Linked DNA regions of Struthio camelus. The protein of the gene in region 1 purifies or fractionates together with the protein of each later gene. This does not show direct contact. Links are inferred from orthologs where the notes say so. Each region holds a gene or a part of one and is shown on either strand. Other genes may lie near its edges.

Evidence for each region.
Region 2: the proteins of HADHA (region 1) and GPC1 purify together in Homo sapiens (co-immunoprecipitation; 3 studies listed by BioGRID and IntAct, with this or other methods). This does not show direct contact. The link is inferred for Struthio camelus from reciprocal best matches to the Homo sapiens genes HADHA and GPC1.

The regions. Positions count from the first base shown.
Region 1 is NC_090944.1:1,812,699-1,824,740, reverse strand, and holds the start of HADHA (trifunctional enzyme subunit alpha, mitochondrial), read left to right. Parts: upstream 1-6,136; 5' UTR 6,137-6,204; coding exon 6,205-6,292; intron 6,293-10,817; coding exon 10,818-10,859; intron 10,860-10,948; coding exon 10,949-11,019; intron 11,020-11,740; coding exon 11,741-11,874; intron 11,875-12,042. Other genes in the region: HADHB (trifunctional enzyme subunit beta, mitochondrial), read right to left, coding at 1,006-1,050, 1,678-1,777, 3,295-3,336, 3,716-3,782. UniProt on the Homo sapiens protein: Mitochondrial trifunctional enzyme catalyzes the last three of the four reactions of the mitochondrial beta-oxidation pathway.
Region 2 is NC_090950.1:8,217,415-8,229,448, forward strand, and holds the start of GPC1 (glypican-1), read right to left. Parts: upstream 4,401-12,034; 5' UTR 4,165-4,400; coding exon 4,008-4,164; intron 1-4,007. UniProt on the Homo sapiens protein: Cell surface proteoglycan that bears heparan sulfate. Binds, via the heparan sulfate side chains, alpha-4 (V) collagen and participates in Schwann cell myelination.

The DNA.
Region 1 (12,042 bases):
ATATCAAAATTAAAGGAATAAGGGCTTAGGGATAACAAAGCCGATTACCTTCGGTGTAGGAACATGTATTAGTCTCATAAAGACACACAGAAAATGAGCAGTTAAGTTTTCACAGTTCATTAGAAAACATATCACACCATTTGCCAAAACATCTTGGCAAATACGCTAAGACAGCAAATCCCATTGGGGGTATTCATTAAGGCTAGTGCGATTCAAATGTAGTTTCATGCATTACAAAAACACCAAACAAAAGTAAAAACATCTCAATAAAGACCTCCTCTCCAGCAGTGCACTAAAACCACCTCAGCCTTCAATCTCTGTGGCACAGCCCTCACACACTTGACACACTGCATGTCAACCTAATTGGCCTTCCTCTGGCTCCCCAAAGATGACATTCAGATTTGGCACGACTGCACCCAACCCCACACCTCACAATCCTTCCTTGTGACTTGAAATCTCCATGCCCCCCAAGTCATGCCTTGTCAACAGTACTCTTCTCGACAGCATGTCCTGTTTTTGCCCTGTTTCTTAATTAAAAAAACACGGCTAGTGACCTACAGCTCTTGTCAAATCACAGCAGGATGGAAGCAACGTGCAAGACAACAGAATTAGCTTGTTACTCTCCGTCTCACTTAGTTGTCTTTGAATCACCATGTCACTTAGATGTCTCTGTCTTGAACTTTAGGCACACTGAGATAGTAGCTATGACCTCTGTATTAGAAAACCATACACAGTCAGAATCCAAATCAAGTGAAATTAAGTCAAACAACACAACAATGCAATCTCCTTTTAACAATACTCTTTTGCACGAGTCTATTGTACGCTCTACTGATTGAACCCCCTACTAAGGCAGTGGCAGACCACGAAAAATGAATCACTTGGATCGTATTGTTTAGCAACAAAACTAGAACCTTGGCTCTCAGCTTAGCTGAAGTCACTGTACCAGCACCCTGGAGTCCAGCAGAAGACAATTTTTTGGGCTCTTCTGACAGTCCATTTACTTACTGCAATGCTGCTCTGGCTAAGTCATGTGGCATAAGATCCGCATACCTGGAAGTTCAAGGAGAGAGGCAGAAACTTAGTGTCAGAAACCAACGCAGGCGTCTTCTTCACTGTAAGTGCACACCAGCAGCACAGAACTGGTGAAGACACCAGAAATGCTCTGAATCACAGGGACAGTGCATTCATAAGCAAACATTTCATAGCTGCGGTTACAAAGACTATCTAGGTGTAAGTCAGCATACGTTCACTATACTAAAGCACTGAAAAGCAACAGTAATAGAATAAAGATATTCCTTCTGGTCCTAATTTAGCTGTGATTTTGGTGGTATAATAGTCTAATAAGAAGAGTCTGCAGCAGATTCTCCGCCCCTGTCCTGCTAGTTTTGTGAAACGCTTTGCTTTATCTGCTACAGGGGCATCAATGGGCTCCTCCAGATGTGCAGCACAAATCTGCATTCTCCTTTGAATTCATATTCATGGCCAATCTTCTTCAAGCCACGTTTTTTCATAATATAAGCTGGAAAAACTGTCAGCAGCCTAACTTTGCCATCTTAGTATTTTTATGTACAAAAGTAACTATATTGAAATCAACATAGCAAACCATATTCCACATTTTCCACCAAAAGATTCTACTATTAACCCAGTCAAAGTATTTTCTTATTATTTTATACTTACGAGGTGCCAGACTGCAAAAATGGAATACGGACACCCTCTACCACAACAATATTCTTCACGCCACTTTTGGCTAATGTCTTCTTACTCTTCGGCTGGACTGCTTAGAGAGAAGTTTAAGTAATTATTGCCAAGAATATGAGCAAGCTTAAAGCCAGATCCTGTTAGAGCTACTAGAAAACTCAGGAAAGAGTCCCCTTTGGTGCATAAGACAAAAGTAGAGTAGGTAGGAGATGCGAGGCAAAATCTTGTCCCTGTCTGGTTGAGCATGCCGTTTGTGAAAAATGGTTTAACAACACAGAATTTCAGCTTCCCTCATCAGCAGAGAGATTCATCCATAGCTATATCGAGGCAATGGCACAGCTCAGAATAAAGGAACATAATCCTCAAACTCCATTACTACTGACAAAAATATCGCAGGAAAAGACACCTCCAAGAATGCTGAATGACTTAGGATATAAATGAGGCGGACCAAATTCAAAGACGAGCAACCAGGGTAAGACCTCAAAGTCTTTCACTCGGGAAGCAACAAGGACTGGAAACAATCCACCTTCCATAGCAATTGCTCACTTATGTGCTCCTATTGCACAGCAAAGGTGAGATAATTCAGAGTAAATAAAAACACAGTGCAAGAAGTCAACTAACTTTCACTTCCATAGGAAAGTACTAGCAAAAAGAGGGCACAAAGCTGTTGTGGGTAGCTTGCTACTCCCTCATAATGCCTGGGAGTATCTCAGGTTTGAGACAAAGCAACGCCATGATACAGCATCATTTAATACACCACTGTCAGTGCTGTTCTAGAGAGATGATTAACAAGGAGCTCAATGAGAATTTCCTAATGCAGTCAGGTTTACAATTCTTAACCAGCAGACACAGCAGCATGAGGCAGCTGCATTTACAAGCCAGAAAAGGAAAAGGCATGTAAAAGCAGATTAAATCCAGCTAAATACTGTGCTCAAGCAAGTGAAAGCACAAGTATGAAACTCCAGCACTAAACTTGAGTCATATAAGAGGGTTCTCCAGATGAAGCTAAGGAGACAAGCGGGGGCTGCTGTCTTTTTGCAATCCAGGCAGCTCAAAGCATCACAGTCACCTGAGTGACCCCAGAACACATCCCAGAACCCCACACTACCCAAACGGCTTAAAAACACACACATCTAACAATCAATGTAATTGTGCACACTAAGCCGCTCTACTGAGACCTGAGCCTCTCATAGGTCTTACTGGACCTTTGAGCTAATTCCACAAGCCTCTCTTAGTCAGGGGCAACCTCCACCCCTCCCGGGCAAGAGACTTGGTTATAACCAGACAGCTTATAACCTCCTAGCTTAGCCTCTCTGTCTAGGATCCTAGAAATAGCAATCTATCAGGTGACAATGTGGCACGAGCTTCAGACCAGGCACAGTTGTTGGGGGTGAGGGAGATTCAGATGTTTAGAGGACTCTTTATTGGAAACACTGTTTTGCCTGTAGCTTTACTTTTTTGCAACTTTAGAAGGGCCCTCTAGAATTAACGAAGTCTGCCTTGTGTTTCTGAGATCTATGTAGAATGAGTATCTGGAAAAGGGAGGCAGCTTCAAAAATAGTCTCTAATAGAAACCCACTGAAGCTTTCACTTTACCTGCTGCCTGTAACTGTGAAGAGCAGCTGAGTGATCTTGCAGCTGAAAAACAAGAACCACAAAAGGAGCATTTATCAAATTATAATTATAAAAACATTTCTATTTATTTTTGTAAGAAACGTTAAAAAAAAAGAAGTTCCAATACAAGTGCACCTGAATATCTGCAAGGTTTTTTTTTTAAGTTACTGTGTTCATAAAAACAACATAGTACATATTACCAGTTAACATGAGATTCCTCCCATATTGGGAGATCTGGGAAACAACAAATACGTCAACAACAGAATTAGTTGTTTAAAAAAAAAAAAAAACCATAACGTAACAGAGATTCAGACAAAAGTGTCCCTGCCAAACGTAATGCTTAAAACAAAGAGAACTTTATGACCTACCAGTTCAAGTCTCTAATGAACATAAAGATACTTACAGACCCTGGCAGCCCATGCTGAGGAAGCAGGGAGGTTTCTGATGATATGGGTCAGCATGGAAGTCATCTTGAGGTCTAGAGAGGTGAAGAAAGACTGCTATTAGTCCAATCTGGCTTATTCAGAACAATTTCAAGGTAAGCATACTGCTTGATTCACACAGAGCCAAAAAAGCAGAGGAAGAGAAGACACATCAAGGGCAGTCAAGTGCAGCAGCACAGGGAATTACATTCTGTTGTACTTTCTGAACAGCATCTAGCACGTGAGAAGTCTGACTTATGACTGCGGCTTGCAAACATTGCTGTAAATAAGCAGTCATCTCGCTGATGACCCAGCACTGTACTATCACTATCAGCAGCGCAGCAGCCAGCACAGTTTTAGATTCCCCTCGCAATACCCGTTCCACCACTTCCCCGCTGGAAAATTGTCCCAGAGCCCAGCCAATCTCCCCGCCAGCATGACTCTCCTAACGCGCGCTCCTTGGCGCAACCTCGTGCCGCTGCCCTGAATTTCAACTGCTGACTCTGAGCTCAGTGACTTTCGTGGCGTATCCCCACGGGAAGCAGAACGAGCTGGCCACCGCCACCCCAAAAGCTTCCCCCAGCGGCTTTCTCCGTGCTCGTTCCGCAGCGGGACCGCAAGGCTTCCCTGCGGACAAACCCCCAGCCGCGCTTCTTCCTGCGGAGGGCCAAACCGGCCCCTGCTGCTCCTGCTCTTCAGCTGCCTCCGGATAAGACGCGCCTCATCCTGCCACGCTTTTAACGCTTAACACCGCCCCCCCCCCCCCGCACTACACACCCACGACTCACACCCCACAGCCCTGGCGCGTGACAAACACCCCTTCACAAACACCACGGGCGCACATGCATGTCCACACACCCACACACACCCCCTCACACCCCCCCACACACACCCTCATACTCCCCATACCTGCCCACACCCCTACACGCATCCCCACACCCCCTACGCACACACCCCACACACCCCCACACCCCCCTACACACCCACCCCTACACGCACCCCCCATATCCCACACACACTCCCCCCACACCTACACCCCCCACACCCCTACACACCCCCCCACATCCCCACACCCCCCACACTCCCCCCCACATCCCCACACCCCCCACACACACTCCCCTCCACACAGACCCCCTACACCCCCCACACACCCCCCACACACTCCCCCCCACACCCCCCCACACACACTCCCCTCATCCCTACACCCCCCTACACACACACCTCCCCACACCCCCCCCACACACTCCCCCCCACACACCCCACACACACCCCCCACACACTCTCCTCCACACACACCCCACATCCCTACACCCCCCCACACCCCCCTCCGCACACACCTCCCCACACCCCCCCCACACACTCCCCTCCACACACACCCCACATCCCTACACCCCCCCACACCCCCCTCCGCACACACCTCCCCACACCCCCCCCACACACTCCCCTCCACACACACCCCACATCCCTACACCCCCCCACACCCCCCTCCGCACACACCTCCCCACACCCCCCCCACACACTCCCCTCCACACACACCCCACATCCCTACACCCCCCCACACCCCCCTCCGCACACACCTCCCCACACCCCCCCACACACTCCCCTCCACACACTCCCCACATCCCTACACCCCCCACACCCCCCTACACACACACCTCCCCACACCCCCCACACACCCCACACACACCCCCCACACACTCTCCTCCACACACACCCCACATCCCTACACCCCCCCACACCCCCCTCCGCACACACCTCCCCACACCCCCCCACACACTCCCCTCCACACACACCCCACATCCCTACACCCCCCCACACCCCCCTACACACACTCCCCCCCACCCCCCCCACACACTCCCCTCCCCACACACCCCACATCCCTACACCCCCCCCACACACTCCCGTACACACACACCTCCCCACACACACTCCCCCCCCCACACACACCCCCACACCGACCTACACGCCGCTGTCTCTCACACACCTCTGGACGCCTCACACCCGCAAACCCCACTTCCGTCCCGCGTCCCCCCCCCGCCCCATGAGGTCCGTCGCCGCCGTCGCCCGCGCACCTCCGGCCCGACCCGGCCCCGCCGCCGCCGCCTGCGCCCTCCTGCCACCACCGCCGCCACCGCGCTGCCACTCTGGAAGGACCCCGCTCCCCCCGCCCCGCGCGGGCTGCCCCGACGCGCGCCTGACCGACACGGCAGCCCTGACAGCCCGGCTGTCCGCCTTCCCGCCGCTCCGCCCGCCCGCTCCCGTTCGGAGGAGGTGAGGGACGGTCGAGGCGCCGCGGGGAGAAGAGTGGAGCGAGGAGGGCGGGAGCGGTTGGCGGCGGAGGGGGAGCGGTTGGCGGCGCGGGCAGGCGCGGGCGGGGCGGGGCCGGGAGGGAGGGAGGGACAGGGAGCGCCGAAGGCCCCCGGCGGCGCCCGCGACGCTTCTCCCTCACTCGACCTCGCGCGCAGCAAAGATGGCGGCCGCGGTGCGCGCTATCGGCAGCCTGGGGCGCTTCATGGCCGCCGCCAAGCACTGCCCGCCCCGCCGCCAGCGGCCCCCGGGTGAGCTGCGGCGACGGCAGCGTGGGGCCCCGCCGCCGGGCCGGGAGCGAGCGAGCGGGCGGTTGGGAGGAGGAGGAGGCGCGGCCTCCCGGGGCGGTGCCCACGCGTGTGCGTGTCACTGAGGGGCGCTGTGGGGGCACGGAAAGCACCTGGCGGTGGGGCCACGCACGGGGGGGGGCACCGGGAAGTGGGGCCTCGCGTGTGTGTGTCCCCGGGGGGGTGCCCACGCGCGTGCGTGTCCCCGGGGTGGGGGGGGTGAGGGACAGGGGTTACTGAGCTCATGTATGTATGTGTCACTGTGAGGGATTAGGTGTCACTGGGAGGTGTCGCTGAGGAAGGGGGGGGTCTTCTTAGGAGGCATCCACGGGTGTTCGTGTTTCTGGGGGGCTCTAGGGAGGGGACAGCCCCCGTATGCCTGTGTCCCTGGGGCGGCTGGTGTCCCAACAGCCGGTACCTGCCCGGGGGGGAGGGCGTCCAGGTGTCCCCCCGCCATCCCCCAGGTGCGCGGGCGTCCTGGGGGACAGCGGTGTGCCTGCACGTGTTGGTGTCCCCACGCGGGACGTGCTCCCACGCGCCTCCCTGGGGCGGCGTCCCCATGTCCTCGCCCGCGGGCACGTTTTAGGCTAGAGGGTCCCTGCAGCCCTGCGAGCTGACCCTACGGGGAGGGGGTGTGCGCTCGCGTCCTGGCACGCTGCGCGTGTCCCCAGTATCCGTGCGTGGCGGGGTGGGGGGGGGGGCGTCCCCATGCCCTTGCGCGCGGGTGTCCTGCGGCTGTCCCCCAGGAGCGGTTTCCCACGCGTGCCCACGGCAAGGGGTGTTCTGCCCCCGCCCGTGCGTGCGTGCCCCCCCGGGGGACAGCTCTGTCCTTGGGGGTCTGTGCGCGTGGCCCTGAGGGGAGGGGGCCCCCGTGTCCCTGCGTGGCGGAGGGAACGCACCGTCCCCATGCGTGCCTGTGTCTGCAGGGGCCTCGCCAGCTGTCTTTGGGCCGCGTCTAGGTCACGTTTAGAAGCGTCCCGGTCATCGACCGCTGCTCCGTTGCCATCTGCTGACTGAGCCCGAGCCCCCTCCTGCTTGGGCGCGATGGCTGCTGGCGGCTGAGTCTTGGTGCTTTGTCCCGGAGGTACCAAAGAAAGGAGTTGCAAGGTGCCCCTGGGGAGGGCCTAAGGTTAAGACTTATTAGAAACAAGCTCTTATTTCTCTGCTTTGAAGGGCCTTAGGGTCTGGTGTCAATGTAGAGCTGAAGTCAGGCAGTGTTTCATTTAAGCCTAATGCCTGTTTTACATGCAGGATTGGAGCAAGTTTATATGTGACTTCATCGCTAGAAGAGCAGAGCACTGCAACTGATAACGAGCAGATCGGTAGTAATTCCAGAGATTGCTTAAACAGCCTCTTGTGGGCTTCTCATTATAACTGGCAATATTCTTCATTACAAATACTTTGTTCCGGGAACGCTGTCAGGACTATCTGTCTATCTATCTGTGGCTAATGTCACGTCATGCGACATAATTAATAGCAGTCTTTCTACGTGTTGTTCTTCCGTAACAACGTATTTGCCAAAACGGATGCGAATCTATCACGGGCAGCCCAAAAAAGAACTGCAAAAGGCAGTAAGTAGGCAGAAGGCCGTGCAAGCTTAAGAGCTAGCCTTACCTGCTCTTCCGTATGTATATGTATATTATGTATATATCATACCATATGCTGACAGGTTCCCAGAGGTGGTAGTAAATAGCTCAGTTTGTTGGAAGTTTCCCGTCTTGCGGCTCGCAGTTCAGTGCTCAGTGCGATCAGCTCGCAGGTACAGCCGTCTTCGTGAGCTTCAGCTCTTCTGTTCTGCTGGCGCTTGCCCAGTCCAGGACTACAAGAAGCCTTTCCTCGTGAACCATCTATGGACGATGTTCCCCCTTCAAGTGATGTGCTGCTTCGGGGGGAATGGAAAGGCAGGAAGGGGAAGTGCAGGACAAGGAAGCAGCCAAGGAAGTGACAGAGGAAAGAGAAAGTGGGACGAAACAGGTCCCAGCCAGATTGTTTGAAAGGGGGCTTTTCCATTCCCTGCTTGCTTCTGAAGCTCTCTGCTAAATCCTGAGAACAATTTTCTGAAGTGTTTGGTGTTCCTTTGTACAGACAGTCTTTCATTTGTCCAAAGAGCAAAGAATGTGAAATAGTGAAAATTGAATATATATTCAGGGCTTTTAGTTCTAGAATGAACATTAATAAAATGGCAGAAATGTACATCTGGCCTGCTGTTATTCCTACAGAATTTGGAAGAGGTTTTTTCTGGCTTCAATCTTGGCAAGTTATCACAGCTCCTTCTGAATGAAATCAAAACCTAAAGCAGTTGTACTGTGACTGCATAAATGTGCTTTTAATTTTAGACGTAGAAATTGTTTTCCAAGAGTATACTGGACCCTAAAATAAAATATTGTCAAGAAAAACACACAGAAAGTTATAATTAAAAAAAAAAAACCTCACTCAAATAATAAGCAACTGTTACTCTAACAGCAGTACGTTTCCCAAAAGAGCTTATATTGAAACGCGGTGAGGTTTGTTCTGTCTTGCCCTTGATGATTTTTTTTTCCTGCTCTGTATCTGTTGTTTTAAAACTGAAAGGTAAAGTGGAATTCAAGGTTTAAAATTTTCTTGGAAAATTTTCCTTCCCCCACCCCACCTTTAGGAGGTGCCTGACTGAGGGTGTGGGAGGAAAGCATTATCACTTGATCTGCAGCTGGGATGTTTGTTTGATCTGATTCTCGTTCCTGCCATGCCTGTCACTATGGAGTAATACAGGGATTAAAGTGAAGACGTTCAGTAGGATTGTTCAGTGCTCACCTGGCTAATGTAGTGGAGTTGGATGGGCAGCCTGCTCTAGGTGACCCTGCTTGAGCAGGGGGTTGGACTGGATGATCTCTGAAGGTCCCTTCCAGCCTCCACCATTCTGTGATTCTGTGGGTGGCTTGCTAATTGTGGTATTTTAACCCAATGAAGTGCATCGGATTCTGCTGAGGTGCGTACGTCAGTGGAGAAACTGTTGGCAGACAATGCTCTGTTTTGTGGAAAATGAGAGCTGGTGCTTCGTTCCAGGAGTACCCGACTTTAGTGCACAGAAAGTCTAAGGAAATTAATGTTGACCTGAGTAATTGCAGTCTGGGCCTTGTTCAGGCCCATAAATATTTTAAAGCCGCTTTGGAGTGGAAACCAGTTCACGCTTTGTTTATAAAATGGTATCGCAAGTACGTGACCCCCTGCTCCCATCAAAGAGAAGTCTGTTGAGACGGACTGACACACAGTTTCCATCCCCAGCCCGTGGCATCCTGCCAGGTGTCCTGGGCTTGGGGAATGGAGCGCAAAGGTCATTCCCCAGTGCCAGCACCTGTGACAAAGTGGAAAGAGGGTCAAAGTGCAAAGGAGCTCTAGCCCCGAGCCCGTGGCCCGGGGCTGTGGGGAGGGAAGCGTGTCTGTTTGCGAGGTGCAGGCCAAGGTTTTAAGGTTGTTTTCGTTCTCCTGGGTTTTCTGCCTTCTTGCTGCTGGGACAGGGATTGTTTCAGCCCCGAGCGTTTTACCAGTGCTGCGTAGTAAATGGCTGTGTTCCAATTGGTAGGTGTACAGTACGTTGCTTAAGAAGTAACACTTTTAGACTTTGAGAATTCAAACAGCTTTGGCAGAGATTCAGCCTAGATCTGCGTTGGGTGATCCTCTCAGTCAAGATCAAGGTCGTTTGAACAGAACTGAGACTCGCTTGCGTAGTGAGAGATCATCAGGCAGAATACAAATTCTTGGCAGGAAAGGGGAATCTGGGATATTTGTGCGAGTAAAGTAGCATTTCACTGTTATACAGATTTTGGTCATCCCTCGTGCTGTTTTTTCAGAGCAAGTTTCAAAACAAGACAAGTTTGTCTAGGTACTTGCGTATGTAATTTGTAGAGATGGATCAACCATTGCCTTGATAGATTGTGGAGGAGAGAATAAACATTGTGTGCTGTTTCTTTGTGGCTTAACAGCTATGTTTCCTGTGATCTGTGCAATAACACTTGGAATGCCAACATTTACAGGCATAGTAGTGCATTTTTGCAGAGATATTCTAGGACATTTCTATTTAGTCTGGGGAGAACTTTATACGCAGGCTTGAAAGTGTCCAAAGGGTGGTAAGGTCTCTCTAATTTAGCATGTGAAGAAGTGTTGAACCGTGCACGCCTAATGTCAAAACCCCTCCGTAGGTCCCCTGCTTAATCTGTTGTCAGCTCTTTAGTAAAAAGGTTTTGATTTTTGCCCTCAGTTTGGCATTCCTGTTATTGGAAAGTCCCGTGTGGGATCTGTCCTGCCAATGTCACTTCAGTAGCATGGAGTCCACTGAATTCTGGTGGTGGCACAGGTCGAGCCATAGCAGAAGGAACTGGCCGGTATTCAGGATTTTCTGAAACACCGGCCTCGGCAGATAAGGGAAGATGGGAGAGTATATTAAGATCTGAGCTGAGATCACCTTAAAAGCTTACCGAGAATGCCTGTAACATCTGCAACATCTCTTCCTTAGGTTATGCTTGCCGTGGTATCTCCACCTCCACTGTTCTTCAGGGTAAGCGTAAAGCTTTTGTATGTGAGTTGATTTTTCTTTCCTAAAATCCACTAAACATAAGCTAATAAAGTGTTTCCGTTTGTTTCCAGCTAGAACCCACGTTAGCTGTGATATCAAAGGAGATGTCGCTGTTGTACGTTTCAGCACACCAGATTCAAAGGTGCGGTTTTGTTGACTGTGATTAATAGGCATATCAGAGGAAAGAGCAGGAATACAGGTAGTACAGAGAAGGCATTGAAAATTGGTAACTGAAGACTAAGAACTTTCCTAACCTGCTGCCAGTCAGATTTGAAAGTGGAAATTTGAGAATGAGAATCGGGGCATATAATAAAAGAACATACTGGGAAGTGCCCCCTGGAAATATTTTATTTGTACCAAATTGACTTGTCTCTCTCACCAGCACAAGGTGTCACTGAACATTAAGTTCTCGATTCAAAGTGGCTGAGGAGAGGGTCCATTCTGTTGAACAAAACAGCTTAGAAGCTCTTAAAACATGTATTGGTGAGGCTGAAGAAGAAACTTCTTAAGAGCAGATTACTTGATAACCTGCTGCAAGGTTTCATCTTGGGGTTTTCTTTCTGGCTGTGTTGTGATACAGGGTGAAATGAACTTTATAGCCAAGCTGGGCTCAATTTGTGTGCCCAGAAACATTAGAATTGTGCCAGAATGCAAATTTTAAAAGGCTATAGAGCTACTGCTTCCACTGCCTTCAGACAGATTGGAAAATCCATTTAGACTTACCATTGGCTTTGGCTTTTTCCTCAGTCTTTCTTCTGTGAGAGTTTTCCGATGATATGATGATTGAGTCCAGCACTTAATCAGAGGTTTAACTCCACTGTCTCGTGGGCTCTCTATTTACAATGTGTATTGGCTACCTTCAGGTGAACACTCTGTCCAAACAATTGAGCTCCGAGATGAGTGATGTATTGAATGAAGTCTGGGCCAATGAAGCTGTCAAAAGTGCCGTCCTCATCTCTTCAAAGCCAGGCTCTTTCATTGCTGGAGCAGATCTTGAGTAAGTTTGGGTGGCAGTAGAAACTATGCTGATGGAGCTTTCTCTAAAGTCCAGCATCTCGGGCAAAAGGTCTGGTGTGCTGTGAAGACTGAGCAGTTTGTCACTGACCTCTCCCCAAGGGTGAGGTAGAGAATGAATATGAAATCCATGTGCGCAGGATGTATAACT
Region 2 (12,034 bases), on another chromosome or scaffold:
AGAAGAGGCACCAGTCAACGTGCTTGGTTTCATTAAAAATGGCCCTCTAAACCAAGCAGGCTACAAAGGACACTCCAATTTGCCCTTAAATTCATCAGCATAAACAGGTTGATATTGCATTCAGGAGTTCACCATCTAGCTGCCCTTGAGAAATCACATCTGCATTTCGTAGTTACAAACCAAATACAACAACAACCTCCAAGAGTGCTGGAGCAACGGAGGCTCCCCTTTAACTCAAGCAGTAAAGATCTGTCCCAGGGAGATAAGGAGCCCCAGATTCTTCTTTTTAAGACCACCGATGCAGTTTTGCCCATCTTTGTATTTACGCCTTGTACACTGCAACTGCTGGAACTTAAAACGCCCTCCAAAATTGGGTTTCATTACCCTGTCTGGACTCCGAGAGCCTCACCAAGTCCAGCTCTCTACCAAGGCGAAATTGCCAGGCCTGCTCTTTCCCCGGCTAGCTCTTCTCCAACGACTATTTAATACACGCCCTTGACAACGTTTCCCTTACAAAGCAGGGTTAGGTAGCCCAAAAGGACTGGGAGATGAAAACAAACGGTTCTGATTCCTTTCAGCTAAGCAGCCAGCAAAGCACGTGCTTGACACAGGCAACCAGATGAGCAGTGACACTGCCCGGCAAAGTCCGGCTGCCTTTACTCTGCGCCCTGCTCTGCTTCTCCTGCGTTACGCCCATCTCCCATGTCAAGCCAGAGAGGAAGCCAGTCAAGGAAGGTTACACCTTGGAGATAAACAAGCAGAAGCCTAGCCTAGACGGCAAGCAAGTTCCAAGCCTAGCCATGGCAAGCAGAACTCACAAGCCTCCTCCAGCAAGCGAGGAAACCATCTCTGCTCAAGCCGCTGGGAGGGGTCACCCATCGGATGTCAGTCATCCCAAGCCACGCCGTCCGGCCAGTGGACAAACCTGGACGTGTCCCCGTGAAGCACAATGTTTTCTGCAGGAGCTTCACTCTTTTTTCCCCCTCCACAAGGGATCCCATATTTTGTATGGGATCACAGAAAGGGGAAGAGGGTCATCCAACCAGAAGCTGCAGCACTCCCTAACACACAGGAACCCTTTGCTCAACTCGGTACGTCTTAAGGAAGCCAAGGCCATCATTTTCCCATACCCAAAGGGTAGGGAGTATCTCCGTCAGCATTTGAAACTTTCCTCTTGGCAGACCTTCACCTATGAAGCCAAGTGTGCACGTGCTTGTCGGGATTACTAACGTGAGCAGATGCTGCTTTCGTGTTTGGGAATTTTCCCATTGACTTCAACGGGACGAGATATAACACCTTGCGTTTTCCCTAACCCCATTTAATAACAGCTACTCACACATCTAGAGTGCTCCAACGTGTTATAGGCACCGTACAAACATCAGCAAGAAAACCAGGAACCCCTTTCTTGGTGTTTCTTGAGCAATCTGACGGGCTGAGAGTTTATCCCTGCATCAGATCCCTATCTCCTTGCCAGCTAATAACAGGAACCGCGCGACTGCTGATCTAACCCAGCTGAGCAGTCAGAAGCAGCCGCCACCTTCTGCTGAGCTGTGGAGACTTTATATTAGTCATAATCCTCTTAAATCGTAACAAAGAACACAGATCAGAAGGTGCAGTGTGTGCTGTAAACGTGCGAAACCCAACACACACAGCCGTTTCGGGGTGCATCAGAGCCCATGCTACTAGAGCGGAGGACATGTTTTTTTGAAGGGGGGGGAAGAGGTCCAGACGCCAGGCCCATGAGCTGGCTGCTCCCTCCTGGCAGCACCCAGAGCCACCGTGGGAGCACAACAGCACTCTTGGAGCATAGCCCCAGGACTCAAAGGACGTCCGTCACCAGCAATGGGAAGACCAAGATCCTCACGGAGAGGACGAACGTGAAGGGGTGCTGCCTCCAGAGGGCTCAAAATAAGACACAAAAGCTGGAGGCACTTGGGGCGGCTCGCACCTCCACCGGCCGCAGGGGGATGACCAGCTTCAGGAGACCCCAGCACAGGTCCAGCCCTGAACCAGCATCCTCAGCGTTTTTTTTAAACTTAATCAAAAATTGTTGTTGGTGGATACGTAGACGTTTATAGGCGCCAATCCCATCTAATCTGACAAGACTCCCATCACACAGGTTACAGCTCCCACAGTCAGCACGCTTAACTAAATCCGCTGAAACTAGCTTTTAAGCGATGGCTGAACATCTCAAAAGCACGCTGAAAATTACAATACTGTGCAATATTGTACTTGTGAGGGGGGAATTCTGCAGGAAGGTCTTGAGAGCCTCCCTTTGGGGGACACGGAAACTAGCATTGACTTCTGCTCTAACCTGCACAACAGCTAGCAAGTACACCTGACAACACCACCCTTTACTGTCAGCCTCAGAAATTTTCCATAATAAAGCGTATCGATCAACATGCAGTTTTCCCCGTATGGGATAAGTGCTACAGCAATAGAAAAGGGCATTCCCAAATACTTATCAGTTAGAAGTTTCACGTGATAATTACCAACAAAAATCTAAGTCTGTTAGCTGTTTCAAATACCAAGTGTGTAATATTTCCAGCAGCACATTTTTCAAATGTGGAAACTTCTCCCTCAAGCATTTTCCATGTGGTATTCCTCACGTTTTTATAACACGTATCCAGGCAGTTTCCCCCCTGCTTACAGTGTGAAAGATGCCCAGCTTGATACTATAGTTTTCACTACCCCTAGCTTAAGGCCGCCAACATACACACTAGTAGCACTTCGGAAACAAGACTTGCGGCTCCTCAAAACCTTGACGTTCGCAGTTACCTCTTATTGCATCTGAGCAATCTGCAGGCAAAAGATGTTTTACTCGCAGATAACCTGCAACAGCTACCCCATACTTGTAGTATGCAGTTCACGCGATCCTACACAACTGCTCCTGTAGTACTACTGCTCCACGCAATACCTGATCCACCGCCATTAATACCCATAAACATGTAGTCTTCTCAGTACTTTCTAGCTGAAACACATGACTGCTGATGTATTCACATTTGTAATAATTAGAGGCAAATTTATAAAAAGCCACCTTCTTGCTTAACCGAATCATTATTCTATTAGTAGTGATGTTCTGATGATTTCAAAATTCTCTACTGTTCAACTTCAAGGACTGCTCATTTGATTTTGGAAATTCACTCTTGGTTGCAACTTGACAAAGAAAGTATTAATTTGTTCACATTTATAAGACGTTTATTCGGTTCAGTCTTTTCCATTCATGGGTCAGACGACGAATTGCTTTCCCTGGAAAACTACCCTGTGAGATATTCAGCATAAGGCATTCTGTAGCTCAGATGCGAGCTACGAACCGCAATTTTTCCTGGGATGTCCCTGTAGGTTGGCTTTGGCACGTACGCCTGCATGTTTCATGCTTTGTCTGGAGGAGGAAGCTCCCACAAGCGAGGCAAAAGCTCTCAGATATGGGTCACAAGTCGGTGTATCAAAACTTAGACAAGAATAAAGAAGAAGATAAAAAATAGCATATTTTCCCCAGGCTTGTAGGAAAGAAAAAAAAAAAAACAACCCTGTGAACTAGACCTTGATATTCTTTTGATATTCCAGAGGTTTTGGACAAAGGAAGTCTACTACTGTTTGTCAGAAAATAGAGCGCGCTCTCCCTCCGTGGGCGAAGGCGAGAGGACGCGTGGTGGCACGGGCTGCCCAGGTTCCTTCCACACATTACACACCTGACCCAGGCTCGTTTCCCCCCCCCCCCGCTTCATTCCTAACTGCCAAAAACACCGTGCCAGGGTTTGCCTCCCATGCAAAGAGAAGAGTGAGAAGAGAGGAGAAACCCCAAACCCCAAACCCATGCCTCCTCCACCACTGCTCGCCTTGCAGCGCCTGCCAGCCCCGAGGCTGCCCGCGCCGCTCCACTCGCCCCCGTCCCCCGAGCAGGAGCCTCGGAGCAGGACGGCGGCGCCCGGCGCAGACAATGCCCCGAGCCCCGGCGGCGCCGAGCGCTGCCCGCCCCGGCCCCGGCCCCGGCCCCCGCCACTCACCGGAGATCTCGGCCTGGGGCACGCCGCTGAGCCCGAAGCCCTTGGCCCCATACAGCTGCCGCACCTCGGCGCAGCTCCTCGCCTTGCCGCCGCTGTCCGCGCGGGCCGGGGGCGAGGCGACACACAGCAGCCACAGTCCCCACGGGAGGAAACGCATCCTTCTGCGCTGCCCGCCACCTGCCGCGCGAAGGGCAACGCCAAGGTCCCGCGGCGGCGGGGGCCGCTGCCCGGGCAGCGCGGCGGCAGCGGCAGGGACGGGGCGGGCAGGCGAGTGCCGCCGCGCTCTCGGCCCGCGGAAGCGCTTTTGTTCCTAGCGCGGCTGCATGCCCCGGGCAGCCCCGCCGCGACGCTGCCGGCTGCCGAGCCGCCGGGCCGGGGCGGGCGGGGCGGGGCGGGGCGGGGCGGGGCGTGCGCGGCGGCGGCGGCGGCGGCGGCGGCTCGGCACCACCTGCGCGCCGGGCGGGCGGGGGCGCGGGGGCGCGGGGCGAGGCAGGGCTTCCCCCGCCGGACGTGGCATCACGGCGCCCGCGCCAATCCCGCGCGGGGCGCAGCCCCCGCCCCGCCCCGCCCCGCCGCCGCTTGCTGGGTTGTTTGACGGTGATTCGGCGGGAAGCAGCGGAGCTCCTGGGGACCTCGGTGAGCGTCCGCCCCGCCCCGCCCCGCCCCGCGGAGACGCGTGCGGGCCGAGAGGGGCGGCCCTGGCCGAGTCGTCCCCCTGCGGGCACGGCGCGTCCCCGCGAGCATCGCCCGCGTGGCGGGTCACCTCCGGAGGGCTCCCACGAGCGAGCCCACCAGCTCGTGGCCAGGAACGAGGACGCTTGCCGACGGATGGAGGGCCCACGCTCGCCCCGGCCGAGGCTCCTGGGTGAGCTTGCACCCTGCTAGACATCAGAGAAGCCCCACAGAAAGCCCCACCCCAGGTACAGCAGGGTCCCCGAAACAGCAAATTCTATGGGAGACTGCATCTTTCGGGCAAGTCACTCAGACGTGCGCAAATCCGTAGGAAAGCCGGGTCGCTCGTCTTGCTGCTTCAGGGACTGCTTGCTCTCCTGAGGAACGAGGAAGGAGAAAGAAGTGACAGCAAAATAACAGCCCCGGGGAGGGCAAGGATGGCAGGAGAGAAGAGGAAAGATGTTCCTTTCCTGTGAAATTGCCTAATGATTTCCTATGAACTTTTCCTAATTAAGTCACCCATGAGACGCAACCTAAGAGATGAAGAGGACCTGACTGCAAAGAGGGAAAATTCTCTAACAGAGATCACAGGAGCTCAAATGACATGTCACTGTAGCTAAAACTGTAAAAAGTCTGAGTCATATGAGCCTGTGCTATCTCCCAAATCATCTTCTACAGATCACACGGGGCTTCGAGGCTCTGGATGTCCATGCCCAAGCCTTGCCCAGCCTCAGCACGCACACGATACAGGTTTGCTAGCTCCCCCCAGCTTCTACACAGCAGTCTGCAAGTCCCTCCGAAACTTTACTGAGAATAGTGAGTTGACACTGAGCGAGACGTTGTTGGGCCGTGGAGTTAAGAGGGTCCTGTTATGAGGGCCCTACCTAAAAACAAATCCACGGTCTAGTGCAGGGCACCGATGGCGTGTGCCAGTGCCAGTGCCAGGGCAGCTGGCCATTTGGACCACAGTGACATCTGGGCTGATCAGAGGTGTATCAGTGATGCACAGGTTAGGAACCCCACGGAGGCGACTGACAGCCCAGTCGCCCACTTCATTAGCACCAAGGCTTTCAGTTCCCCCCAACTCGCTGTGCCTGAGCTTGAAGCTTCCTCGGGGGGGTTTCCAGAGCATGGAAAAAAGGTCTTGTTTCTGGAAACACGTGGGAAAATCTGCCACAGATGGACGTAAAGTCTGACCCACCCTCTCTTTTCTAAGTGCATGAGTACCGCGCATATTAACAGGTTTCTAAGTTCATTACGAGGAACAAGTTTATTTCAGCCCTTATTCCTGGTTATTTATTGTAATTTTATGGTCAGAGCTCTTTCCCTACCCCAGGCTTTGAATACAGCCCTTACAGAGCTACGTCACAGCTCTCATCTACTCAACCCACTACAGTAACAGCGGAAAACCAGCAGAAAATTGGCGGAATCCATGCAAGGATACATACTGCTAGGAGTACAGAAACACCAGGATCGTGGTTTCTCCTCCTGGTTCCAGAGGGAAAGTCAAACAGTTACAGCACAGAGCTAATACCGCTCTTGCTCGGGTCTGGTGAGGGGAATGAACTCCACGAATGCAAACTGCCGAGCCGGAGCACTTAAAAGAGCAGAAAGGCAGAGTCACAAACCTCTTATTTGCTCTGGAAGATGACACAGGAGCCCAAGCAGTACCTAATTTTCCCTTTTCCTCCTGCGCGCCCAAGGTAGGATCCTTGCCTCTGCGGTGCACCCAGGGCTCGCCCCCGGCTCTGCCTGATAGCACCTTGTGGGAGTGCGGCGTGGCTGTGCCCAAGCTCGCAGCACAACAAAGCCCTCCGCGACCGCACAGCTGGCGAGTGCCCGGACATGTTGGCAGCTGACACGGGAAGAACTGGGACTGAAACCCTCGGCTTTTGGCCTTGCGAACCATCCCCTGAGCTATAGATCATTTTACGGACAAAAGTATCTTCTTTGTTCATACACATCTCGCTCCCCCGAGCTGGGGGACAACACTGCCTGTAGCACAGACACTAAAGTCAGGTCATTCCTGATAAAATCCAGAGAGCCGGCAGCACACGCTCTGCTCGTTCAGAGTCACCCTGTTGTGTCCATGGGGAAGCACTGGGGTACGAATCACCAGTGCAGACTGCACCGCTGGTTGCCAAACCCGTCTCAAGAAGCAGAGCTGCAGGTACCACGAATTTCCTTGATTAAGTGACCTTCAGCACATGACTTTCCTGCTGAATGGGGATAACAGTGTTTCTTACCCAACCCCATGCCTGTGAGGTGTTTGCATACTATCATAATGACAAACTTATTAGATATAGCATATTATATATAATGAGAAGACAGCTTAAAAATAATCGATATGAGCTGTGTGACACAGCAGCTATCTGTGCGTCTCTATAGGATACAATCGTAAGCAAGCAAATCTTCAGCCTGTCCTGAGGCATGACTGCGTGTGCTGCTGTCGCTGGCAAGGCGTGTGTGCATACCCAGGATTTGGGCTGGGTACATTTTAAGCAAACTGAAATCAACACCTTCCAAGCGTCATGATGAAAATGTGTTTTTATGTGCATTATAAACCGCATTTCTTTCGTGTGCGTTTGAAGATCAGATCCACTTTCTGAACACGCTCAATTTAAAGAACGGAGCTTGGCAAAAAGCGAACGCAAGCTTGTCCGGCACCTCACAGAAAGAGCTAGAATTGGGGCAGAAAAGAAAGAACAAAGTAAAGCACAAGCTGAGTAGACAAAATGCAGAGGAGAAAAGCACACAGCCAGCCAGGAGGGTAGTCAGAGGCAGACAGAAAATCCATCCTGCTGGGGCGATCACCTCTTGTCAGCCCCCGACAAAAAGTGCTGCCTGCTGAAAAGCTGATCCAAGCATTACAAAGAGGTAAGAATGATGAAGAGGAGCCAAATCACCTGGCACAAGCCGGGAAAGTTACCCTTTCAAAAATAAATGAGCGGAGGCTTTGTAGTGTCTCGACTTCCACAGGTTCTCGTCCGTCTTCTCTTTCTCCAGCACTTCCGAAAGTTTCACAGCGCCATGGACATGCTCTTTTCAAACTAATGCAGATCAAGCGCTGCAGGGGCAGCAAAGCAATCGCATCCCCCAGAGCTCCAGCTGGCTCCATGACGGACCTGCGCTGAGCTACAACCACCGAGTGTCTGACCACAAAAGCAGAGCAGCAAAACCCCAAATACCCTGTTGAATCGGTAGGCAGACCCCGTCTACTTTTTTCATTGTGTATCAAATACAGAGCTGACAGGAAGTGGGGAGGGCGAAAGGAAAGGAACCGGGAAAAGCTTACGCGGCCTATAGCTTCCTCTCTCTCCCTTGCGGGTGTTGCACGATGAAACCCTCAGCCCCTCTCCCTGAGTCGGTTTTATGCCACATTTGACTCTGCAGAAGCCTCAGAAAATCTGGCACCTCGAGATTAAAAGCCTTCATCAAAGCAGGAGCAGATCAGTACCTCTTCTGCCTGTTTCTTTTCATCCTTGCTCTATCCGGCTCCTGCAGGAGTTCAGGCAAGCTCTCCCCCTGCTCCTCCCACCCCCAGGCTGGCTGCTGTTCAGCACAAGCTGGACACGCGCTTTGCTGAATCAAATCTAATTAGGTTATCCAGAGGATTTACTAGATTACACCTTGCTATCTGCAGCTGCTGACTTCTTCACTGGATCGTCCTCACTGGGACCCATGCAGCTCCTCCTCCCCTCCTGCACACAAACCCCTCCGAAGCTTTTCGGACACGCGCAGGAAGAGCGTACGTGATTGCTCTGGTCACAGAAAAATATGAAATCTATCCTTTTAAATTGCTGGGTCACCTACGTACAACTGACAAATCCAGCTTGATCTCAGCTGACTACGTGAGAAGCCATTTGCTCTACCGAAGCGCTAAGACTTGCTGGGATTTGTGTATCTGTGCTAATTAATGAGGACTATGGTTCCACAGATGTACAGAGCTGGGGACCCTTCCCAGCACCGGAGCTCCCAGCAAGCCAGAAGTCAGACCTCGGCGCAAGAAAATTCGTAATTCTGGCCACGGCGGAAGAGGAAAAGAGGACGGGGGCTGCAGCAGGGTACACCAACGCTCAGCCTAGCTGCTGCTGGACCCTCGATTCGAGCAGACCAGCTCCCTTTAAATGCAATGCTTAATTCCAGCGTGTGTGGTTAGTACTCTGTAGGGTGAGATTATCAACCACCAAATAATTTCAGGCAGAGAATCTGGCTAATTGCCCCTCTGTGCTCTGCTTCGGGTTGAACGACCCACTTTTCCAGCAGTGACTTAAAGGAATGCATGGCTGTAATGACCTCTTACCAACGACTCCACCCTGTAGGACCGTGCTTGTGTCATACGTGCCTCAGAGATTTCCCAGTAGAAAGCAGTCTTAAAGGCCAAAAAATAAATATATGCCAAAAACTCATTAGAGAAACTGCTGCTAATTGGGTCTGCCCCAGGAAATATATTTCATCCTTTTTGGACATGACTTTCAATAAAGCTTTCCTGACTCCCAGCTCCCCAACAAGTTTGTAACAGTGAATGAAGAATACAGACACAGTATTGAATCTGTTTTATAAAAGCAGGGCTTAGCTTGATATATGAAATGGCTCAGAACTGGCTCTAAAATTACTAGGTTAGAAATGTGTGTTTTCAGCATGCCACTACAGTGATACACAGATTTCTCCCCCTGCTTGCAAAAACCACAGTTGGGACCACTTCCTCTTATCGTTCAGAGGGTTATGTCCAGAGCTTGGCTGTTTTTGAAAGGGTTTTATGAAGTAGAAATCTCCCCTCAGTCTGTCATTGGTCGCTGGGCACTGGCTTAAGAAAAGCGCCCGCAGGAGCAAACTCCGCGCCTACGAGTGCAGCAGCACCTAAGCACTGGTCCAAGGCATATGGACCTGGGTCAGGCATCCTGTGCACTTCAGTGCGGAAAAAAAAAGCTACAGCCACAAAGAAAGAGATGTGTGGTGCAGCAATCCAGCCGTTCTGCAATGCTAACAGAGCGTCCTCGAGCCGACGCGTTATCCTCAGCTGATGCTACATTAAACACTACATAAAGCGCTTTAATGAATTAACAGAATTATCTTACGTCCTGCTCAAGTGTTTACTTTTTCCCTCACATCCAGTTACATATAACATAGGCTGTTTTCACAGAGAAATTGGCTATGAGGAAACACCCATTCTGTGGTGCTGAAAAGCACCGAACGCCTTTAGTTGCAAGGAGAGGCTCTCGCGCTCCCGGGCTTTGCACAACGGACTTTGGCGATGCTGCGAAGGGGTGTCAGCCAGCAGCACGGGCAAGCTGGGGTTAAACCCCAGTGAGCGGGAAGGACAGCTAACAGCAAATGTTCGACAGCGTTTCACACAGAAACGATAAAAACTGAATTTGAGTTTGGAAACGCATCCTTCCCATGCCTTTTTCTCTGAGTTGTTAATAAGATAATTACCAGGTGACACAGATTTTTTGATGTGTGCCAGCTTTACTTCTGATGCAATGCTGCACACAAGTAAAGTGACATCTGGAATGGATCTGGTCCAGCGTGTTTTTCATTTTAAGATCTATGCATTTTGCAACACAAATACAGTGTACGCATCCACTATGGCTACATGAATTTTAGGGTGCTTGAAGGCCAAGCCTTCAGAAGATAGTCCGATGTCAGTGAAGATACACTGATTTATCCCGGTCGAGGATTTGGCGCCTTTACAATCCAACATCTGCTTGCGATCTTAGTATCGCTCTGTGTACAGTTTCTTTTGTCAGGACCACATAAACATCCAGTACTGGATTTTCCGAGATGCCAGATGACACACACCCATGTTCTGAAGATTAAAAATAGAGCTCTTAATCTGATTTCATTTCTTCAACCTGCTAGAAACCAGAGAGCATGAATACAAGGAGATGTACGGAGCCTGGGTGTAAGAAACGACAGAAATCACCAGCACACTTAATTCTGTCTTACTTTTTTTTTTTTTTTTCTTACAGTGTTACTTTTGAGTATAGCCTTGAGAATAAGTTGTTCGCAGTATCCATGTAATTTTATATCGCATACATAATTGTGCCTCAGGCAGGACCGTTATTCCGTGGCTAAAGGGGCAAAGCTGAGATCCTTTGCCTCTATTGTGGTCGATGCCAGGGACGTTGCTTTTTAAAGCACTTTAAATAGAAGTCGGTGGACGGGGGATCCTGCATCTCACTTTCAAATCTTCCTTGCTGCCTTACAAAAGCTAAGCAGTTAGGTGCAATGACTCACTCATGCTGACATTTTTGGGAGAGAACGATGCCTTTTATAACAACATCGATATTCCCCCATTGAGGTCTCAACGCTGGCTAATTTAGAAAAGAAACATGTAGTGCAAGGTTGAAAGGTCACAGGCCAGCCGAAGAGCTCATGAGATCATGGGACCATGAAAGAAGCTCCGACTTTAAAATAAAATAGCCTTTTTTCTTTCTTTTTTTTTTTTTAAGGAACAGACAAACTTTTCTGAAAGGCCAGGAATTTAATTTGAACTCTTCTTTCACATACTGTACAAATAAAAGCTACACTGCGGAACCACTTGGGGCGGTTCAGTACAGTTTATCTCCAGAGGTCACTTTAATCTATACGGAAGGGACAGGGAGAGGGAGGGACACACATTTACTTTGAGAAAGCTGCCAGACCTCTGTAAGCTCTGATGTTCCCATTGCCAAGCCAACGCCCTTCTTAAGATTATTCTCCCCGCAGTCCGTAATGCCTCTGCAGCCTAGGGAGTGTGAAATTAAATTATGAAATATTGGATTATTTGTGGCTGTTGTGTGCTGCTCTGTCCACACTGTTCTTTTCCCTTTCTTAACTTCCTGATTTTTCCTTGCTAGAGCTAAAGGAGAAGAGGGGGAGAGAAAAGCTTATAACAACTTTACTTCCACAGCATTATCTAGACTGATGTTTTTGTGCCCTGAACAGATTTTAACACAGATTCAGAATTGAGACTAAAATCGGAGCCAGATTTTCTGGGTTTGACTCCTTTCCATGACTGCTAACCCACAAAGTATTCCTGTTGTTTGCCTGTTTGTTTTCCGAAGAGACACTATTACAGTTTCCTCCCAATATTAAGCGTCTCTGAAAACAAATTCACTCTGATAGAGATGATCTTTCAGAGTCCAAGCTGAAGAGAGCCTCCTTTCCTTTATCAAGGAACCTGAAAATGCTGATGTGGGATTTACAAAAACACAAGCAGCCGAATGCGTTGTGTTTCCTTTTCCTTCCAGGGCAGTAGCAGCTAACAAATACTATTTGTTGATGCAGTATACATAAACCACACGTCCTTAGAACAATAACTTATTATTAAACCAAAGCAATTAGGCACAGAGAGCCTTCATACCTGCAGC